Tamandua tetradactyla: one gene and its partners. The protein of the gene in region 3 purifies or fractionates together with the protein of the main gene of each other region. This does not show direct contact. Links are inferred from orthologs where the notes say so. Each region holds a gene or a part of one and is shown on either strand. Other genes may lie near its edges. The genes, in order: AKAP8, AKAP9 and PRKAR2A.

Region 1 (3,745 bases), on a different chromosome or scaffold from region 3:
AAAATCCAAAGAACAAGAACTGTGTAATACAAAGTGCAAACCCTGAGCAGAAGCCATGGACTTTCTAGTTAATGACAATGTGCTAATATCAGCTCATCAACTGTAACAGACCACGAGAATGTAAAACGTTAAAACAGTTGAAATGAGGGTGAAATGTATATCAGGTTCTGTGCACTACCTGTTCAGTCTTGTAATCTTTAAACCAAAACTAAAGCCTATTATTATCAAAAGCTTTTATTATACCTTTAGTTATTTACTTAGAACACAATAACAAACTGCCACCAAAAAAAAAAAAAACAACCCATGAAAATTAAATGATGTTTAAATCTCAGCATCTTTAACTGAGTGAGACTGGAACCCAGCCACGTGCATCTGTTTACATAACTACAGCTGCTTTCAGACCACGGAGACCATAAGACAGCCAAGCGCCTGGCCCTGCAGCCTCCCCAGGATAAAACCTACCACCCCTGGGGCAGTGCCAGGTCTGGCTCTGCCCCACCAGGGCCTCCGGGTGGGAGGGAAGCTTGGGGACAGGCTCATACACTGCTCCCTGAGACAGAACCACTCACCCTGGGTGTTGGCAGGCCCAGCACTCCATGCCCCATAGCCTGCAAATGGAAGACACAGTGAGTTAGTGTCCAATTTGTCACTTGGGAGACCGGGTGCTTTGTGAGGTCTGAGGAACATAAAGTCTCTTCACCAGAGTTCCACTGCAGCCTTATAAGCAGGCAATGGATTCCATCCTAAGAGACACCGGATACTGGCTGATTTCATCATCACTCCAGCTGCCCGAAGCCAAAGCAGGAAAAACAAGGGGGGCTGACAGGTTATGAAGTCAGCTCTGCCCCTCTCCTGCTTGGGCCTCGGCCAAGGACCGCACACCTCCACCTCAACAACTCACACCTGAGGACCAGAGGCCAAGGCCAGAACCCAACATCAGGCCACAAACACACAAGCTCTGGGAACATGAGGCTGCAACCGGCCTCCGAGCCTGACAGCACATCCCAGGGCCTTCAGGGATCCGGAACTCAGCCAGGTGCCACCCCATCTGGCTGCCCCTCTTCTGAGGACTCCCCTCGCTGCTGCGGACCCTCCCCCCACAACACCTGGCTGCCACCAAGCAAGAGAGTGAGAACTGTGCCCTCTTCACTTCTCCCTCCCTGGAACGCAGCACCCACGCCTGCCTCCTGCTTCCTTCTTACAAATCAAGAATGGATCCGCATGTCCCTTCCTAGAATGAGCTCCAGACTAATAGAGGGCCTACGATGCGCCACGTGACAGGCACTCTAACCTCAGGTGGCATCACCTAGCAGTATCCAGAGACCAGCAGCTAAGACTCAGAGGTTAGAGCCGTGACCCAAGGTCCCAGCTTCCACATCTGGGCACGAGGAAGGCGCAGGAGCCTACAGCTGCACACGTGACCAACTGCGGAACAACAGGGCCCCCAGGAAGCAGAGGGTGGGACTCTGCTCCTGGCCCCACTGTGTCAAGGGACTGAGGCTCATCCCCAAGCTGGAGAAAAGCTGGGACTGGAACCCAGCTCCGGGTGGTCCCCACGGTAAGGGCGCCCCTGCTCCAGGCCCAACGGTCCTGGGACAGGCAGAGTTTTGAGCGGGAAACTCACAAAAATATTCAAGAAGCCAGCAACAGCTAAGTGAACTTAGGCTAAAAAAATTCGGCGAAAGGGAAACATTTCTCCAAACTGAGACAGGTTGGCGGGGTCTCTGGCTCCGGGAAAAGGCAACGAACGGACAGACCCAGCGCCACGCCAGGAGGGCCCCGTGGCTGCTGCGATTCCTGCGGCCGGGATCCCGCCACGCTCCCACACTTCAGGCTGCCCGGCCCCGCACAGGCCGCCCTCCCCCGCCCTGACCAGAGCGCTCCGGGCCACACGCGCCGCCCGGGGTCCAGACCGCCAACCAACCAACCCCCCCCTTGCCCCATGACCGCGACCCCGGCCCCTCCCCCCGCCTGGCAGGCCGCCGAGGCCCCGCCCCCGCGCCGCCATCTTGTGGCGTCTCAAGCTAAAGCGGAACCGCGGGCGCCGGGGTCGACCGAGAAAGGGCCGGCGGGGACGCTAAGGGGAGCGTCCCCACTGCCTAGGCCGACCCCGCCGCACCGGCCAATCCGCACCGAGCTTGCCAGGAGCGACGGCGGCGCGGCCCAATGGGCGCCGCGCGCGCCCCGGCTGCCTCTCGGCGGCCTCTGGCCTTGGGCGGCGGTAACGCTCTCAAGGGCTTGGCCCCGGGCCGCAGTTCTTTCCGCGGCGACGGCAGCAGCATCCGGCCGTAGGCCGCCCGCTCCCCACCGCAGCACCTTGAGACCCTACCTCCGTAACCCTGCTCCATGTCTTCGCCTCAGCCCGCTGGCAGCTCCTTTTTCTTCGCTGCTCCAGCACGCAGGCGCTCAGCACTCGTCACGCCGCCAGCTACTGGGGGCGCAGGAGCAACGTCACCCCACCCATGCTGCCCCATTGGCTTCTTGCGCCATGGGCCCGCCCCGCAAGGTCCCAATCTGGCCACCGGTTAGTCGGGGTTTGCGCCAATAATAGCCAAGGGCGGTACTGGGGCCGCGTTCTCCAGCCGAGCCTGGCGCGCAGGCGCACTGCCCTACCCCGCCCGCTTGCTCCCCCGCCCCCACGAGCCCGCCAGGTAATCTCCGCCCCACTTCCTCCCTCCCGGCCCCGTGGCGCACGGACAGACACACGGCAACACGGAAGTAGCGGCGGCGGCTGCAAGAACTTTATTGGGGCGGCTTCGGCCTCGTCCGCCCGTCCGGGCCCACTCACGGGGCGCCCCCGCCGCCCTCCTCCTCGTCGTCGGCCTCCACGTCGAGGCCCGGGATGCCGCGCACCCGGCGCTGCAGCGCGCCGCCCAGCAGGGGCACGGCCTCCTCCTCCTCCTCCTCGGGGGGCGGCGGCGGCGCGGCCTCGGGGGCCGGCTCGGGAGGCACGGGGGGCTGCGCCGGCGCCCCCTCCGCTGGCTCGTCCGTGGCACCACCCTCGGCCTCCTCCTGCTCGCGCTCCTCCTCGGGGCCGTCAGTGAAGGGGTTCTCGCCCTGCAGGGACGGGGGTGGTGAGGTGGGCAGACCCCGCGCCCCGCATACCCCACCCGCCCGTCCGCCCGTCCGCCTCACCCTCAGGTAGCGCTCCAGCTTCTTGCTGATCAGCTTGTTGTTGAGGATGCTGCGGGCCACCATGAGCGAAGCCTTCTTGGACTGCTCCATCATGAGCTGGGGGCAGAGCAAGGCGGCTGGGGAGGCTGCCTGCAGCCCCTGCGCCCTGGCACCCAGCCCCCGGGCTCAGTCCTGCCCCACTACTCCACAAAGGAGAGGAAAAGGGCCCAAAGAGGGAGAAGGGTGGGTCCCTTGGTGCAGGCACAGGGCGACTCTCACAAGCAGGGAACCACCACCGGATCCTACCTCTGCTGAAATGCCCCATCTTGCTAAACCACACTGGAATGGCATTATATGTTTGTAGCTGAACTGCAGAGATTGATTTGCTTACCTAAGCTGTAAGTACGGGACAAATTAAGAAACCTACTGAAAACCATGTGCAATAATGACAAAGTGCTAAGTTCTTTGGATCTTAAAGATCTTAGATCAACAGGAAAGATAGAAAAGCAGGGATACAAATGCCAAACCACTTATCAAAATGATGGAGCACTGCAAAGTTGAACAGAAGTAACAGAAGGTTGAAGACAAAGGCAGGCTGAGATGCAGTTTGATAGAATGTATCAAAAGTTAT
Region 2 (3,745 bases), on a different chromosome or scaffold from region 3:
ATTCCTATCATTGTTCAAAATTTTAATGGCTGTATAATATGCCATCCCATTTAAATAATTTAGACAATGATTCTTCTAATGTCGTCTTTGAAGGTTGTTTCTAGTGTTTTTATATTACACAGCTAATTCTGCAGCAGATATATCTTGCTTTATATGCCGCACACTTTCATTTCTCAATGGAAATACTGGGCTCAACTCCAGAGGATAATCTACAATAAAAGTTAAAGTTAAAAGAAAAAGATTTTTTACCCTAATCGGTAGAATTTTAAAACACCAAAAAAACCACATTCACACAAAGAAATAGAATTCTATTTTGCCAAATCAAATGATGTGGCAAGCAATTTAAATAAATCCCCTAATTATTATGGGTTATTATGTCCAAAGTGAATTTATGCCGAAGTAAACTGTATTTTGTAGGACTGTTTCACATACAGTTAGAAAAGATACTTCTGGAGCAGACAGTAAAAATTCTGAGGTAATAGACAAGATATAAACTGTCTACTTAGAGACTTTTGGAAGAGGGTGCACACTTTACCTCCACTTCCTTGGCTGCATAGAGCTTGCTCAGACCCTCGGGGCTGCACAAAATGTAAGCAACTGACTTTGGGCTTCTTAAAATAGCCTCATTTTCCTTTCCCCCATTTATGGACTTTAAAGCAATAATTTACCTGGGTACATACAAGCACCTAAGCCTTGACTTCTGAAGTGGAATTTTATGGAATATGAAACTAGTGTACATATATATTCATTTAACAATCTTGGGCTAACCATCTACTGCTGCATCTCTGCAATACGGCCCTTTGTTGATTACCAAATTATTGACCCAGTTTCCTTTGTCTATTTATATGGGAGGAGAGCAGGGAGGAAGGAAAAACAGCTATAATTTAATTATGAATCAAGTATGATTGCTAACAATTACCTCTGATATGATAATTGGAATCTAACCTATAAAAGGTAACTTCATTGTAGAACGTCTTTAAGGCCAAGAGATAATCTCAAACGTTAACATTTTAAAAGAAACATGCTACTTAATTTATATGTTGTCTATGCCAATTTTTCGTCAAATTCTCAATTGAGAGATACCTGTGTATAACTGTGTATTGTGTACTTTACAGGCTTTTTCATACATATACACACATAAAATCAGGAGTCACCCGATACACACACACACATATATATTCATACACAATCAACCATTAGGTAGTATTTGAAGCAGGGATTCTATAGGTGTTGCTTAAAATACGGAACCTGTCGTTCCCAGAACTCCAATCACGGAATGCATTAACATTCCACACAATACAAAAGCGCATGCCATGACAAAGACCTCCAAACACAAACATACAAAGCACGCTTAAAAAACGCCTCTAAAGGAACTTCACAGCTGGCACGTGTGGCACACTCAAGTCACTGCTGTGGCAGCTGACAGAGGCCAATCACACACACCCAAGAGTGCCAGCGTGCCACCTAAGGAAGTCAAGCTGATGATCAGCGCACAAATCCCCCATCAAATAAAGAAAAGCTCCAAATCCCCACCCTGGAAAACAATGCCTGCGCCACCCAGAAAACTCCTTTAAAAAAAAGTGAAAGACTGGAGATCAAGGACTAATAAATATCAGCTTATAGCAGCACTACAGTAATAGAAGGGTTTCATTTGGGCAATAAAAAGAAAAGGGCCATACGATCCAGTCATCGCGGAAGTTTCATTTGCTAGAAGCTTTTCTCACTATTGGAAAGACGGTGGCGAGGGGGAAATAAAGACGTCTGTAAGAACCTCCCTTCAAGGTAGCGCACTAGAGCTACCACGATCTCCGTTTCCGTGGCCCCCTCCCACCCTCCCCAGCCGCCGCCTCCCACAGCCGGCCAGGCTGCCTCCGGCTTTCCTACCTTAGCTTTGCCGGCCTCCAGCTTCTTCTGTCTCTCTTCGTCCTCCATGGCCTCTGCAGGGCAGGGTGGGGGAAGACAGGGAGGGGATTGGAGGTAGAAAGAAAAGGTCGGTTCAGACGTAGTGGGACGGCAAGCTCCAGGGCCCAGAGAGCAGGGCCGAGCCCGGCTTCCAGCGCCCGCAGTCGAACCAGCTGCCTCGCTCACTGGCTGGTCGTCCTCGGCCGCACAGGGAACGCCGCCACCGCCGCCATCTTCGTCTCCACGTAAACACAAGGCCGAACGCGGGTTGGCTGGGGGGAGGGGCAGGGGAGCGGGATGCGGACGTCTGTTCGCGCAGCCGCCGCGAGTCCCGCTGGGCTCGGCAGGTGCGCCCGCAGCCCCTCCCCACCGCGCGCGGGACCTCGGGAGCGACCCTTGTCCACGCAGTTCTCAGCTTTCGAGTCTAAGAACCAAGGGAGTGGGTGCTCCTCTAGCCTTGGCCGGTTCTTGTCCTTCCTCCGGGATGCGCAGCTTCCAGGTGGGGGCGGACTAGGGGTCGGGTAGGAAGGGCGATAGGGCAGGGGGCATCCGGTCGGACCCCCACTCACTGTTCTAGGAATTCTGTGGTCGCTTTTAAAACATTTTTTTTAATTACAAAAATAAAGATGTCTAATGGTGAGATTAGAGAGCACTGAAAAGCCCAAAAGGAAAAAGTGGGGGGTCAGGGGGAGTCAGTTTCTCAACCTGCACTGACTCTATTCCAGGAGTTAGGAGAGCAGCTGCTTGTTCTCATTACTTCCTTATCCTGAAAGCCCCTCCTTCCCCATACTGTTACCCGCCCAAGCCCCTATTCGTCCTTCAAGGCCCACCTGAGGTGTCGCCTCCAAGTAGCTTTATTGATGTCTATTATTCCCTCCACCTCAATGGAGATGTTTCCAGTCATGGCTTATTCCTCTATGTCCCCTAACTCTATTCCCTCCCTCCTTGGAGCTTCCCCTTAGCGATGGTGTTCAGAAAAGGGCATAAGCTTCAGACCCAGGGGTGGAGACAAAGCCATTATGCACTTTCTAGTTTTAATGATCTTGCAACAAGGTACCAATCCTCCCAGAGCTCCAGTTTGTTCACCTAGAATTTTTGGAAATGTTGTTAGGATTAAACGAATTAATATATGTGACTGTCCCTGGCACATTAAAACTAACACAACTGGGAAATCATCGACCTACCCAGGCGATTAAATCCATCTCGACTCCTGTTGGAGACCAGGCGAAACCATAGCAGAGAAGACTCAAAAAATTATGAAAATCATTCCTGGGGCAGCCGTGTGTGTAGAAAGTGAAATCAGGGAAGATGTAACTATAGGACCTAGGACGGTGATCCACCCTAAAGCACGAATTTTTGCAGAGCCAGGCCAATAGTAATTGGTGAAGGGAACATAATAGAAGGACAGGCCCTTATTATAAATGCTCACCCTTATAATATCACCCCTCTTGCTGGAGATTTCAGAATCCAATCCTCTGGCCATTGGTACAATAATGTGTTTGAAGTTGGCTGTTATTCCCAAGTCATGAAAATGAGAGATAATAATGCTGAGTCAAAAGCATATGTAGGCAGAAGTGTAGTATAAATGAGTGCATCATTGGGGCTTGTTGCAAACAATACTCTTGAAGTCATCCTTGAGAATACAGTAATCTGTGGTGCAGACTGCTTTCCTGTGGTGTAGACTGAGCTACCGCAGCCCCAGACGCTACAGCTGGATTTCCTGATTAAAATCTTGTCAAGGTACCATCACATAAAGAAGACCATGAAAGGAAGTTCAACTAACAACAACATATGATATCAAAATAACATTTCATCTTTGACTACAGTCTTTTGCAAGGGCCAC
Region 3 (3,745 bases):
TACTAAGCAAGGCCTCCTTATTAAATACAGTCTTATACCACATATCCTATTTTTAATATCGGGTAGTCTGAGTTTATTATTCTAATGTTGCCAATGGATATGCAATGTATTTTTAATAGTAGTTCATCTTGTGTTGATTTCTATTGCTATAGCAGGGTAACCACTTAGGAGGAAAAAACAAAAATAAATACCAATAAATTAGAACACAGTTACAAAGATTTTAAATCAACTCAATTTTGAAAAAGACACAAAAGATGACAAAGAATGAAGACGTGATACAAAAATCTTGAAACTGTTTTATTCATCAGGGATAATTTCTAAAATACTCCTCTAAACTGTTTTGTACAAATAAAATCTGGCAAAAAGGGTTACAGCTTTGTGATTAATAGAGAATAACAGTAGGGGAAAGAAACACAAAAACTGAGAAGTCACACCTGAGATACAGCTGTTTAAAAACACATTTATCCCTGGGAGATTGCCGTCCTGGTTCCCCGTTTAAAGATAAGTAAAATCTGAAGTAAAAACAGGTTTAACAACTTGTCTAAGACCACAAAAGCAAACCTGTGGCAGAAATTTGGCAAACAACAATTTCTGATTATCAGGTTTATGATTAAAAATCCATAACAGACTACGCAATAAGTGGAGGAAAACAGAGAAGAGCAATTCCACTCTTTCAGCATGAATAAACTGTGGTCCTGCACACAGAAGCTTAGAATCTCCCAAAGGAATGACCATTAATTAACTCCTAGCTAGCAGTAGCTGGAAAGTAAGACCAGGACAGAGTCAACTACGTAGTAGTTTTTTCAGTGTGATCTAATAATACTAAGTCTCTAACACTGCCTCTCAAATGTTTTCATACTTTCGTTAAATTTTGGCTGTGTAAAAGTAAAATGTTAAAACAACATTTATTGTTATATTGATAAAGCCTATGCTGAAACAACCAAGGAAAGTGGAATTGCTTCTTGACATTCTTGCTTAAAACATATGAAGAAAATGTTACTTTTCTTCTTTTCTGCAATCCACACACTAAACAAGATTCATACTGTTCACCTTCACCAAATTTGATTCAATTGTTTAAGCCAAATTTAAAATAAATAATAAAGGAGATTACCAGGATCCATATTTTAAGAAATACATATTCAACTACACAGGAGTGAAATGATCTGTCTGGGATTTGCTTTAAAACATTTCAGCAAAAGGAAAAAGGTATGGGTGAAACATTTGCGGCAAATACAATTGTTGAACGTGTGAGAGGTTCTCTTTTCTCTCTACTTTTGTCTATGTTGAAATATTTCATAACTCTTTAAAAAATGAATTAATACCAAAGTTACCGTCCTGAAAATTAAGTACGAGTCACTGAGTGTTAATACTCTTGTCTTCAGAACGAAACGAGGCAAAGGGCCTCAAAGAAAGGGCGAGGATCCTTCCACGAGGCCGACGTAGGCTCGGAACCTCAACGCCCCCAACCCCAGCTCCACGCGACCACCCAGACCGAAAGCGCGCACGTTTCGCTCGTGGCTGATTCTGGCAAATCATTCCGTGCGCTCTACGAATGGGAGAACAGCTGATTTGGAAGTGGCGCACGCGGGAATCACGCTGGAGGCTCCGGGAAATCCGAGAAACTCCGCTCGAGAACGCCCAGGTACCAGTCCAGGGCTATCGGCTCGGTCCCCGGCGCGACACACGGCCCCATGGCCCCCGGACCTCTAGCGACCCCGGACCAGTCTCCTCAGCCCCTCCACCGAGAACCCCCAGCCTCCAGTGAACCTCGGCCCCGCCCGCTGCCTACCGTCAAACTCCTCGTCGTCCTCAGTGTCGGCGTCCGCGGTGGCGTCGGCGACGGGGCAGGGCTCTTGCTCGTGGGGGCCGAGAGGAGGGGCGGTGGCGAGCGGCACAGAGGTCAAGGCGCGGGCCTCGCGCAGGCGGGTGAAATAGTCTACCGCGAAGTCGATAAGATCGGGCGGTTGCTGCCGTAGCACCTCCACCGTGTAGCCCTGCAGTAGCTCCGTGAGCCCTGGCGGGATCTGAATGTGGCTCATGCTGACCGCGGCGCGGAGACTGGCGGATACGGGCCGCCAGCGGCCACAGCCTCCCGTACTCCCTCCCGCCGGCCCCTAGCTCTGTTACGCGCGGCCCCAATCCGGCTTTCCTCACACAGCACTTAGGCCGGGTCTGCGTTTCCGGGCCGCCCGACCCTGCGTTACTTCGGCCGGCTGGCGCCGCCGCCGCTGTCACTGTACCGCCGCGGCTGCCGCGGGGACCGACGGGCGGGCGGGACGGGCAGGGCAGGCGCCCGGGTTGTGACGCAGGCGGCTGCGGGCGTGCGCGCCCCCGCCGAGCGCCAGCCCGCAGTGCGCGTGCGCCGCCCCCCTACTGAGCCGTCGGGGGGTCGCTGCGGGGGAAGGGCTCCGAGTGCGTCCTCACGGCGCGCGACCCTCGAATGAAGAAATGAATGGCCAACCGGCGAATCAGCTTCTGGTTAACGCCTCTCATCTGGTCGTAAGAGCTCGCATTTATTCTTTTTGTACACGCTGAGCGCCTTGTTTCCCGACACTTACTGGGAGCTAGGGATACAGCCAAGAGCCAAATGGTGACACACACAACCACCTCAGTGTGATTTCGGCTTTGGTGGAGAAGAAGGCCCTCATTAGGGGGTGACATTCAAGTTGACCCTGAGGCCTGGTAGGATCTGGTCAGAGGAAGACCTGGAGGAAAGCCATCTGAGTATAGAGGATAGACAGAGCAAAGGCCTGGCCAAGTCTGGACTATTTTGGCCACAGGAAGGAATGGTGAAATGACCATAGGACATTCGGGAAGCTAGCAGGAGGTCTGTGAGATGTCAGCTGGGGAAGGCTGTGTGTGTGGTGGTGGTGGTGGTGGTGATAGTGTTAGTAGTAGTAGTTTTCAGTGAGAGAGTAATTTTGGAGCCATAGGCAGAGAAATAAACCTGGAAGAGTTTATCTGACCAAACATGTAAAGACGAAAAGGAGAATAAGGCCCAGAGCAGAAGGAACCTCCATGGCTCTGTGCCTGCTCCTCTCCTTGAGTACTCCTACCAGGTTCTCAGATCTAGGTCTGCATGCACCTTCCCTTCCCATCCTGGGCCCTGGGCCAGCACTTCTTGATGGAGCTGAGCAGAATGTAAGGCACTGCTACCCTTGGCCCCTGGGGAGTGTGTATAGGCAAACCGGAGAATCCAGGCTATTTCTCAAAATGCATATCCCCCACCCCAGCCAAACTGGGAATAGAAAAAGATGGAGGCCTAGATGCTGACCAGAGGCCCAGATGGTATAGGACAGAGTCTTCCCTCTCCTTGATGGGCTTAGCCAGAAGTGACTAGCTGTAGGCTTGGGAAGCTGAAGGACGTTCAGGATGGTTAAGCGCCACCTGGTAATTACCCCTTATTAATTAAAACACGCACTAGCACCTCTCTTACTGGCTTGGCGCACACCCAGGAGCTGAATGCTACTGGGAACTAAGATTCTAGCAGCAGGAACACAATATCCCAACTGATGCAGAGATTTCTAGGCCAAGCAGGCTTGTGATTCCAAACAATGTCTTCCTAGATAAGTTCCTTGACCCCTGAGAGGGGTCTTGGACCATTAATTTTGTGAGGGAAGAGGTAGTGTCTGACTTGTTCCCTACTGAGTCCTCATTGCACATTTTGGAGTTTTCCTGAATAAACTGAATGATAAATTTCTATGCAGTAAGCAGAACCACTGAAACTGCTGTATTGACCTCTCAT

What was found.
Region 1: the proteins of PRKAR2A (region 3) and AKAP8 purify together in Homo sapiens (affinity purification with western blotting; 3 studies listed by BioGRID and IntAct, with this or other methods). This does not show direct contact. The link is inferred for Tamandua tetradactyla from reciprocal best matches to the Homo sapiens genes PRKAR2A and AKAP8.
Region 2: the proteins of PRKAR2A (region 3) and AKAP9 purify together in Homo sapiens (affinity purification with western blotting; 3 studies listed by BioGRID, with this or other methods). This does not show direct contact. The link is inferred for Tamandua tetradactyla from reciprocal best matches to the Homo sapiens genes PRKAR2A and AKAP9.

The regions. Positions count from the first base shown.
Region 1 is NC_135337.1:94,123,007-94,126,751, forward strand, and holds the start of AKAP8 (A-kinase anchor protein 8), read right to left. Parts: upstream 2,466-3,745; 5' UTR 2,349-2,465; coding exon 2,330-2,348; intron 609-2,329; coding exon 570-608; intron 1-569. Other genes in the region: AKAP8L (A-kinase anchor protein 8-like), read right to left, coding at 2,785-3,057, 3,136-3,231. UniProt on the Homo sapiens protein: Anchoring protein that mediates the subcellular compartmentation of cAMP-dependent protein kinase (PKA type II).
Region 2 is NC_135327.1:124,514,509-124,518,253, forward strand, and holds the start of AKAP9 (A-kinase anchor protein 9), read right to left. Parts: upstream 2,249-3,745; 5' UTR 1,933-2,248; coding exon 1,885-1,932; intron 1-1,884. UniProt on the Homo sapiens protein: Scaffolding protein that assembles several protein kinases and phosphatases on the centrosome and Golgi apparatus. Required to maintain the integrity of the Golgi apparatus. Required for microtubule nucleation at the cis-side of the Golgi apparatus.
Region 3 is NC_135341.1:37,420,798-37,424,542, reverse strand, and holds the start of PRKAR2A (cAMP-dependent protein kinase type II-alpha regulatory subunit), read right to left. Parts: upstream 2,264-3,745; 5' UTR 2,040-2,263; coding exon 1,790-2,039; intron 1-1,789. UniProt on the Homo sapiens protein: Regulatory subunit of the cAMP-dependent protein kinases involved in cAMP signaling in cells. Type II regulatory chains mediate membrane association by binding to anchoring proteins, including the MAP2 kinase.